Ovis aries: one gene and its partners. The protein of the gene in region 3 interacts with the protein of the main gene of each other region in a biochemical or structural test. Links are inferred from orthologs where the notes say so. Each region holds a gene or a part of one and is shown on either strand. Other genes may lie near its edges. The genes, in order: CYTH2, ARFIP2 and ARF6.

What was found.
Region 1: the proteins of ARF6 (region 3) and CYTH2 form a complex in vitro, tested with the Homo sapiens proteins (3 studies listed by BioGRID and IntAct, with this or other methods). The link is inferred for Ovis aries from reciprocal best matches to the Homo sapiens genes ARF6 and CYTH2.
Region 2: the proteins of ARF6 (region 3) and ARFIP2 form a complex in vitro, tested with the Homo sapiens proteins (2 studies listed by BioGRID). The link is inferred for Ovis aries from reciprocal best matches to the Homo sapiens genes ARF6 and ARFIP2.

The regions. Positions count from the first base shown.
Region 1 is NC_056067.1:54,900,572-54,903,935, reverse strand, and holds part of CYTH2 (cytohesin-2), read right to left. Parts: intron 2,567-3,364; coding exon 2,486-2,566; intron 2,014-2,485; coding exon 1,901-2,013; intron 1,781-1,900; coding exon 1,632-1,780; intron 1,089-1,631; coding exon 977-1,088; intron 1-976. UniProt on the Homo sapiens protein: Acts as a guanine-nucleotide exchange factor (GEF). Promotes guanine-nucleotide exchange on ARF1, ARF3 and ARF6. Activates ARF factors through replacement of GDP with GTP.
Region 2 is NC_056068.1:46,314,235-46,316,943, forward strand, and holds the end of ARFIP2 (arfaptin-2), read left to right. Parts: intron 1-452; coding exon 453-953; 3' UTR 954-1,378; coding exon of another isoform or gene 1,379-1,534; 3' UTR 1,535-2,104; downstream 2,105-2,709. UniProt on the Homo sapiens protein: Plays a role in constitutive metalloproteinase (MMP) secretion from the trans Golgi network. May have important functions during vesicle biogenesis at certain cargo subdomains, which could be predominantly utilized by secreted MMPs, such as MMP7 and MMP2.
Region 3 is NC_056060.1:41,107,775-41,109,846, reverse strand, and holds ARF6 (ADP-ribosylation factor 6), read right to left. Parts: upstream 1,161-2,072; coding exon 633-1,160; downstream 1-632. UniProt on the Homo sapiens protein: GTP-binding protein involved in protein trafficking that regulates endocytic recycling and cytoskeleton remodeling. GTP-bound form plays an important role in the transport of multiple palmitoylated proteins form the Golgi to the plasma membrane.

The DNA of each region.
Region 1 (3,364 bases), on a different chromosome or scaffold from region 3:
CTAACTGAACCAGAGTCCGCTGGTGCCACATGTTCCAAGGGGGACCGGCCCCTGTCCCACCCATCCCACCGTAGCCAGGGGCTCCCAATTCTCCTGTCAGCCAAGGTGCATCCCCTCTCCAAGTGTGTGCTAAGTCACTTCAGTCGTGTCTGACTCTGTGACCCCATGGACTGTAGCCTGCCAGGCTCCTCTGTCCATGGAATTCTCCAGGCAAGAATACTGGAGTGGGTTGCCATGACCTCCTCCAGGGAATCTTACCAACTCAGGGATCAAACTCCCTGTCTCTAAAGTCTCCTGTGTTGGCAGGAGGGTTCTTTACCACTAGTGCCACCTGGGAAGCTCTTCCCATCCCCACTAGGAACCAATCCGACCAGCCGAGAAGTGCATCGGGGCATTCCGGGACCGTTTCTGCAGGCTCTTTACTGCCTACAGGTGACATCTGGGGAGGGAGGACACTTCTAGAACAGCCACGATGCTACAGGGCTGAGGAGGAGGCCACAGGAGGTGGGGATAAAAATACAGGAGTCTCAGAGTGGGTCTGCCGCGGACTCCCCGAGAGTTCCTGACAAGCAAGGTAAAAGGCCCAGTTGCTTGGGTTGTTCTGTTTGCTACAGCTGAGGGCAGCCTGAGTCATGAACACTCTCCCAGCAGACATGGCCTGTGCCCTTTGGTTCTTGGCTGTGTCCTCAGTCCCTACACCAGGGCCCGGCACGGAGGAGGGGTTTCATAAACCTGTGTGGGTGAACAGAAGGGGTGAGGCAGCACCGATTCCAAGGCCAGCCCCGGGCTTGGGCCCAACACAAGAGACCCGATCTCGTTCTCAACCCCACTTTTCAGATGTGGCTACTGAGGTTCAGAGAGGTCAAATCATTGTCCTAAGGTCACACAGTGGCTATGTGCGAAAGCTGAGTCTAAAACCTGGGCCTGCTAACTTCCCCCACTTTCAGAGGCAGCCAGCAGTCAGGAAGGGACGTACCCAGCTTAAGGAGCCAGCCCTCCCGGTCCGGGTTGAAAAAGGTGTGGGTCAGATCATTGCCGTCATCCTCAGGGATCTTGAAGGGCTCGTTTCGGATGCTGTCGTACAGATTCTGAGGGGTGAAGGCACAGTCAGCACCTCAGAGCTCCTGGGATCCTCCAAGGGCCACTGCAGTGGGGATGGGGCTCACTGGGAGTCAGTGAGACCACGGGTGGGATGGCCAAGGGAGGGAGGAGCCTGGGGAGGAAAGGGACGTAGAAGGGGGAAGAGTGGAGGGAGCTCCGGCGAGGAGAGAGGGAGAAACAAAAAAGATGCAGAGATGGAGACAGTGGAAGAGCTGCTAGGTTCTGAGAGAGACAGACAGACGGGGGAAAATGGGACAGACCAAGGCCCTCAAAGAGTCAAAGGGCCAGGAACCTGGGTTCAATCCTTGGTTGGGAACTAAGATCTCACATACTGCCTGGCGCAAAAGAAGAAAAAATAAAATGAAAAACAGACAAAGACAGGCAGCCAGAGAGAGAGAGAGAGAAGACTTGGGCAGGCCAGTGTGACCATGCAGTCCATGGGTGGGCGAGGCAGTGATCCTGGGTGGAAGGGGGCTCAGGCACTGAGAGAAAGGGGGATAGAGCTGAGGGGGCTGGGGAGGGGGCCTGACCCTGAGCAGCTCCTCAGGCAAGTCCCCGCCCTCGTTGATGCCCCGGTTCATGGCCACGAAGCGCTCCAGTCCCGGCTTGTCCCGGACGTTGGGGTTGTGGAGGCTGGTGTTCAGCATGATCACGGCGAAAGACAATACGTAGCACGTGTCTGCACCAGACAGTCATGGGGTGACGACTGGGGCATGCGAGCCCCCGGGACTCAGGAGCTCAAGTCCCCCCCCACCCCCAGCTCCCTCCTTCCCCAGGACCCTAGGGTCTGGGTCCCTACCTGTGGACTGGAAAACCCCAGGGTTGCACAAGCAGTAGCGCTGGGCAAAGGCCTCCATCATGCGGTCGATCTTCTGGGCTTCTCCAGGGAGGCGGAAGCTCCAGAGGAACTGCCTGCGGCAGAGACGAGCCGAGGGTAGATCCAGAACTGGTGGGGTGCCCCACCTGCTCTCAGTGCCCGTGGGAGGAACTGGCCAGTGAGGGCGCCACACCTGTGGCCAACCTGACCACTGAGCACCGGCCAGGAGCTCTGGATGATGTATATGCAAACGCCCTTGCTTTCTACCAAGGTTGCTGCATGGAACAGATGGTTGCTTGGGGCCTCTGCCGTCACGTGGGAGGAGGGTCTGCTGCGAGCAGCGCCCACCCCATGGCGAGCACAATCAAAAGCTGTCCTTCCCATTCCATTCAAGTGCCTGGATACGGCTATGCCTGAAGGAGGCTCTACTGTGGACTTTGGCAACACTCACGTGCAATCCATCCCCTAAGTTTTCGTTCTGTTTTTGCCTTCAGGAGGGGGTGATCATCACTGGTAAAGAAAGCCCTGACAGGTCCCTTCCTGCCTTTTCAATCCCATCCTCCTCACCTGAGGGCCTGCACCAGGTTGAGGTCAGTGAACTCGTGCAGATCCACGAAGGCATGAAGCACTGCCAGATTCAGCTCTTCCCTGGGAGGATAGGGACAAGGTCACGGGCAGGAAGGGGCTTGGGCAAGTGGGGGTAGAGAGGAGGCGAAGTACTGAGGAGGCTGTGGCCCCTCTTCTGCACAGTGGCTACCTCTGTAGCCAGTGAAAGTTTTGGCCAAGCCCCCATCACCAGCCTGGCACAGGGGTAGGGACACTTAGAACGCTCCTGGGAAGACCATCTGCCTTAAGAACTCTGGTGTGGCTGGAACTCTGTGCAGTTGGGAGAAACACAGCAAATGTGCTCTGCTGGTCATCTCTGATGAACCCCAGATTTCATAGATGCCCAGAGATGGCCTCCTATCCCCTAGAGACCCACGGAGAGTCCCAGGGCAACCCAGATGCCCACAAAACCAGCCCCACAATGTCAGACAACCGGACTGTCCCTATGCACCCCAGATGTCACAAGCGATCCCCAGACAGCTAGAAATGACGCCCATGCTCCCAGACTCTCCAGTCCCCATGCCCTCCAGCTGTCCCCAGACGGTCTCTGCGCCACAGATATCCAGAAGGTTCCACAGAACCCAGATGTCCACACAAACCCTGGGCATCTCACAGTCCTGTGCACCTCAGACATTTCAGACGGCCTCCACATGTCCCGGATGTGCACCGATGGTCCCCAGGTTTCCCAGACTTCACAGAAGGTCCCAAGCACCCTGGAGTCCAGATAGTCCCCACACACCCCCAACATCCAAAGGTCGTCCGCATGTGTCCCAGAAGTCCACAAACTCCCAGGCACCCTAGACATCCACTGCTGGTCCTCATACACTCCCGACGTCTCAT
Region 2 (2,709 bases), on a different chromosome or scaffold from region 3:
TCCCTCCCTCCCTCCTGCAGCCCAGAGGGAGAACCCCTCCAGGGTGGGCCCAGCCCCGCCCCCAGCAGCACTCACCTGTGGAGGCAGCCTAAGGGTTTGTACAGAGGCCCAGAAGTGGGAGGTGGTGGGGGAGGCGGCACACTAGGTGCCTCACGAGTAACCCTTCTCTGCATTGACGAGAATGCCTTCTGTGCTCAGCCTAATCAGAGCCCCTCCCTTGCCTGCTGCACTAGCTTTCCCTATTCCAGTCCTGTGAACAGACCCCGTACTCCCACATTCCAGCCCCAGGGTGGCCCCACTAACTTTCTGGCTAAGAGAGCCTTGCTGGAGACAGTCCTGAGTTGTTCCGGTGTCATTGGCTGTTTCCTCCTGGGAGAGGAGGGGGAGGAAGGGCCCTTTAGCTCCAGTCAGGTGGTGACTATTACTCAAGGCCTGTCCCTTCCTTCTGCCAGGAGGAATTTGGCTACAATGCAGAGACGCAGAAGCTGCTGTGCAAGAACGGAGAGACATTGCTAGGGGCTGTGAACTTCTTTGTCTCTAGCATCAACACATTGGTAACCAAGACCATGGAAGACACTCTCATGACTGTCAAACAGTATGAGGCTGCCAGGTGTGGGCACTGGCAGGGCCTAGGGTATTGGGAGTTGGCTGGCATGGGTGAAAGTTTGAGCTTTAGGGGAAAAAGAATTGAGAAAAGTAGGAGAGTATGTGTGGAGGGCAAAGGGGTGGAGACCAGCCCATATCACCCCCTCCCCAGGCTGGAATATGATGCCTACCGGACAGACTTAGAGGAGCTGAGCCTAGGCCCCCGGGATGCAGGGACGCGTGGTCGACTCGAGAGTGCCCAGGCCACTTTCCAGGCCCATCGGGACAAATATGAGAAGCTGCGGGGAGATGTGGCCATCAAGCTCAAGTTCCTGGAAGAAAACAAGGTGCTAACCCCACCCCTTTGACCCAGCCCACCTTTCCATCTGTACCACTGACCTTCCCCTCAAACTCCCCATCACTGAATGGGGAAATGCAACCTGGCTAAGGACTGGGAACATCCCCCAGCCCACTCAATCCCTGGACCTTTCCCTATCACCCTCCCTCTGATCCGTGGCCCTTTTCTATTAGAGGATTTGGCTGCTGATCCCAAGAACACAACTGGGAAAAAACCACCCCTTGAGCTTAGGTGCCAGAACCCCTGGCCCAGCCAGTCAAGTTAGGTTTCTTCTATTACAAGGCTTTTATCCCTTGACTCTCTTGGTGGAGTTCAGCCCCTACTCCAAAAGCACCATCAGAGCAGAGTCCATGTGCCCCTGATCTGGGTTCAGGATCATAGCCCCTCAGAAAGGGTGTCTGAGTCCAGTCTCAGTTGACCCTGCTGGACCCCCAGATCAAGGTGATGCACAAGCAGCTGCTGCTCTTCCACAATGCCGTGTCCGCCTACTTTGCTGGGAACCAGAAACAACTGGAGCAGACCCTGCAACAGTTCAACATCAAGCTGCGGCCTCCAGGAGCTGAGAAGCCCTCCTGGCTAGAGGAGCAGTGAGCCACTCCAGCCCAACCTGGCTATCAAGAAGGACATCGGGAGGGGTAGTCCCAGGGTGGGGGAGATTTGGACCTTGCCACCTGCACTCTGGTTTGGGTTCCCTTTCCCTGGCTGGGGCCTGACAGGGGGCCTGCAGGCCCAGCAGCTGCAGCCCTGTCCTTTATCTTCCTGGCCACTGGGCTTCATTCCCAGATCTTTTCCTTTCACTCCACAGCCAAAGGCTATGACAAAACCACCCCCTGGCCAATGGCATCACTCCTCAGGCCTATCCCCAGTTTCTGGGGTGTGCCCCCTGACCAATGGCAGAGCCTCAAAAGGCCCTGTCAGCCAATGGCAGCTCTTCTTGGGCTCCCCTGGGCCAATGATGTTGCCTCCAGTACCCTTTGTCCCTCCTCAATGCGTGCCCATTGCAGAGAAGGGGACTGGGACCAAAAGGGTGGGGATATGGGGAGCCCCATTTTTGGCCGTGCATCTGAGTGGGTCTCCCCTCACCTGCCCACCCAGTTTAATTGTGCTTAGAGCCCTGGAAGATTGGGGCCTAGCACTAGGAATAAACCTTTCATAAAAGCAGGCCCAGTGAGGTCAATTTGTGGGGGATTCTAGGAGGGTGGTCTGGGTGGATAAATGCTCAGTCTAATACATCAAAATCCTGCCATTTCAGGAGAGCTGGGGCCAGATAGCTGAAGTCACAGGTTTCTGGAGAGCCTAGTCCCCTCCCCCAGCCCCAGAAGGAGCCAAAGCTTTATTTGCCCTTTAGGCTTGTGCCAGGAGAGCAATGTGTCTTAAAACACAGGGCCCAGAGGGGGTTGGGCCTACCAACCTCCATCATCTGTTCATTCATACAGCAAATATTTACTGTACTGAATGCTTTCATTTGCTGCTGCTAGACCCTGGGGAGACATCAGGGAATAAAACATGGTCCCTGCCCACAGTGCTTACGGCCTAGTGGGGGATAGAGGCAAGTAACCAGGCAACTGCAATACAGTGATAAATACTAGGATACAGAAGTGTGGGGAGCTATGGGAGCACCGAGGATGGGTGCTGGATGGAGCCTAGATGGATGGAGGTGGGGGTGTCAACTTGAAAGGTGAGAACTGAGGGTAACTAAATGACCAGGTAAAGAGTAAGGGGAAGAGCATCTTAGGCAAAGGTGTCAGTGGATGTGAAGGCCCTGA
Region 3 (2,072 bases):
AACATACTGATGTGCAACTGGAACATATTACAAGGATATTACTCATTATTTGCCACTGTGGGCTAAGTTTACTATACTGGTCTTAGATATAAAAGGTCACATTTGAATTTACTTAAAGTCAGAACTCATAAGAGGGGGCGAAAAGGCCTTAAATATAAAAGACAAACAGCAGTTTGATTAAGCAATAATTTTCAGTTTACTAGATGAAACAGACTTGCAACATAGTCTGCATGAATGCAAAATAAGCCATCTACAGCAAGTGATAAGGAAACTGGGCAAAAAGGAAAAAAGCATACATTGGAAAAGAAGATTCTCTCGAGATAAAAAAATCAAACCATTATTATAAAGGAATTTACCAAGAACTGCTATATTTCCCCCATCCCATTTGCTGGAAGTCAACAAGAGCATCTAGCACTTTGTGTTCATGTCAAAAAGTCAGATCAGAGCATCCTAACGCAAAGCAAAAAAAGAAAGAAAATCCCTAACCCCCTCCCCCAAACCGCAGAACTGTAACTCCAGAGTTCAAATTCAAAAGAAGAGAAAGTGGCAATTGAAAGAGGTGATGGTGGCGATAATCCTATGAATGGGTTTTTGATTTCTCTCCTTTCCGGGGGATGGGTGGAGAATGCTCATTAGGATTTGTAGTTAGAGGTTAACCATGTGAGCCCCTCATAGAGTCCGTCCCCCGAGGTGGCACAGGAGGGCTGCACATACCAGTTCCTGTCCCGAATCCGGGTCAGGCCCAGTTTCTCCTGGATCTCGTGGGGTTTCATGGCATCGGGGAGGTCCTGCTTGTTGGCGAAGATGAGGATTATGGCGTCCCTCATCTCCCGGTCATTGATAATGCGGTGCAGCTCCTGGCGGGCCTCGTCGATGCGGTCGCGGTCGGCGCAGTCCACTACGAAGATCAGACCCTGGGTCCCGGTGTAGTAATGCCGCCAGAGCGGCCGGATCTTGTCCTGGCCGCCCACATCCCATACGTTGAACTTGACGTTTTTGTAAGTCACCGTCTCCACGTTGAAACCCACAGTGGGGATGGTGGTCACCGACTGGCCCAGCTTCAACTTGTACAGGATGGTTGTCTTGCCGGCCGCGTCCAGGCCCAACATGAGGATCCGCATTTCCTTGTTCCCGAAGATCTTAGATAGCACCTTCCCCATCGCGTCGGAAGAGCCGGGGCCGGGGGCATTCAGGTGTCCCGGGTCCCCTCCGCCAACAACGCCGCCGCAGCCGCGAAACAGAAACGGAGCCTCCCAGTCGCGAGGGCGCCCGTGCGGCCTGCGTGGGAGTCGCCTCCTCTGGGCAGAGGCCCGGGCCCGCCGCTCACTCGGGCATCACCCACCACACAACTTGATTCCTCCAGGCGCCGCGGCCGCCGGGCGCTGAGTCTGCGCCGGGAGAGCCGCCGCCCTGCTGAGGCGCGGCCCGGCCCGGAACTGCCCTTCCCCCCGCAGGCGCCGCGCGAGCGCCGCCGCGGTTCCCGCTCCTCCGCCTTCTCCTGGAAGACTGCGGCCCTTCGGCCCGGTCCCCGGTCCGCGAGCACCGCGCTCACCACCGACCCAGGCCACCCGAGAGGCAGCGCGGCTCTGGCGCCCGGTCAGGTCATAGATCCTCGCGGGAACTCGGTGCGCTGCCTGCGGAGACACAGAGAGGGAAAAAGGAGTTACTGCGGGAGCCCCAGCGGAGAGTGGAAGCCGAGGGGGCCCGCCTCGTCAGCTCAGCCCAGGAGGTTACCTCCAGCCGCCGCCCCGCGCGCGGGCTCCCTCCGGCCTCCACAGCCTCCTCCCAGTTCTGCCGCTGCCGCCGCCGGAAAAGGCGCCGAGGAAACCGCCTCACTTCCCCTCCCGACTACGCAGGCGCAACAGAGGGAGTCCAACCGTTCGGGCAAGAGCGACCTCTGTAAGGAGAGCGGCCCGCGCGCCAAGCGTCGGGGCGCCACGCGCTGGGGGCGGGGCTACGGCGGCCCGGAGGTCTCGCGGGTGCGGCCAACCCGCACCCCCGCGAACCTGGGACTCTGACTAGCTCCCACCTGTCTGTCGCTCCTCTAGCGATTCCTTCCTCTATGCGTTCCT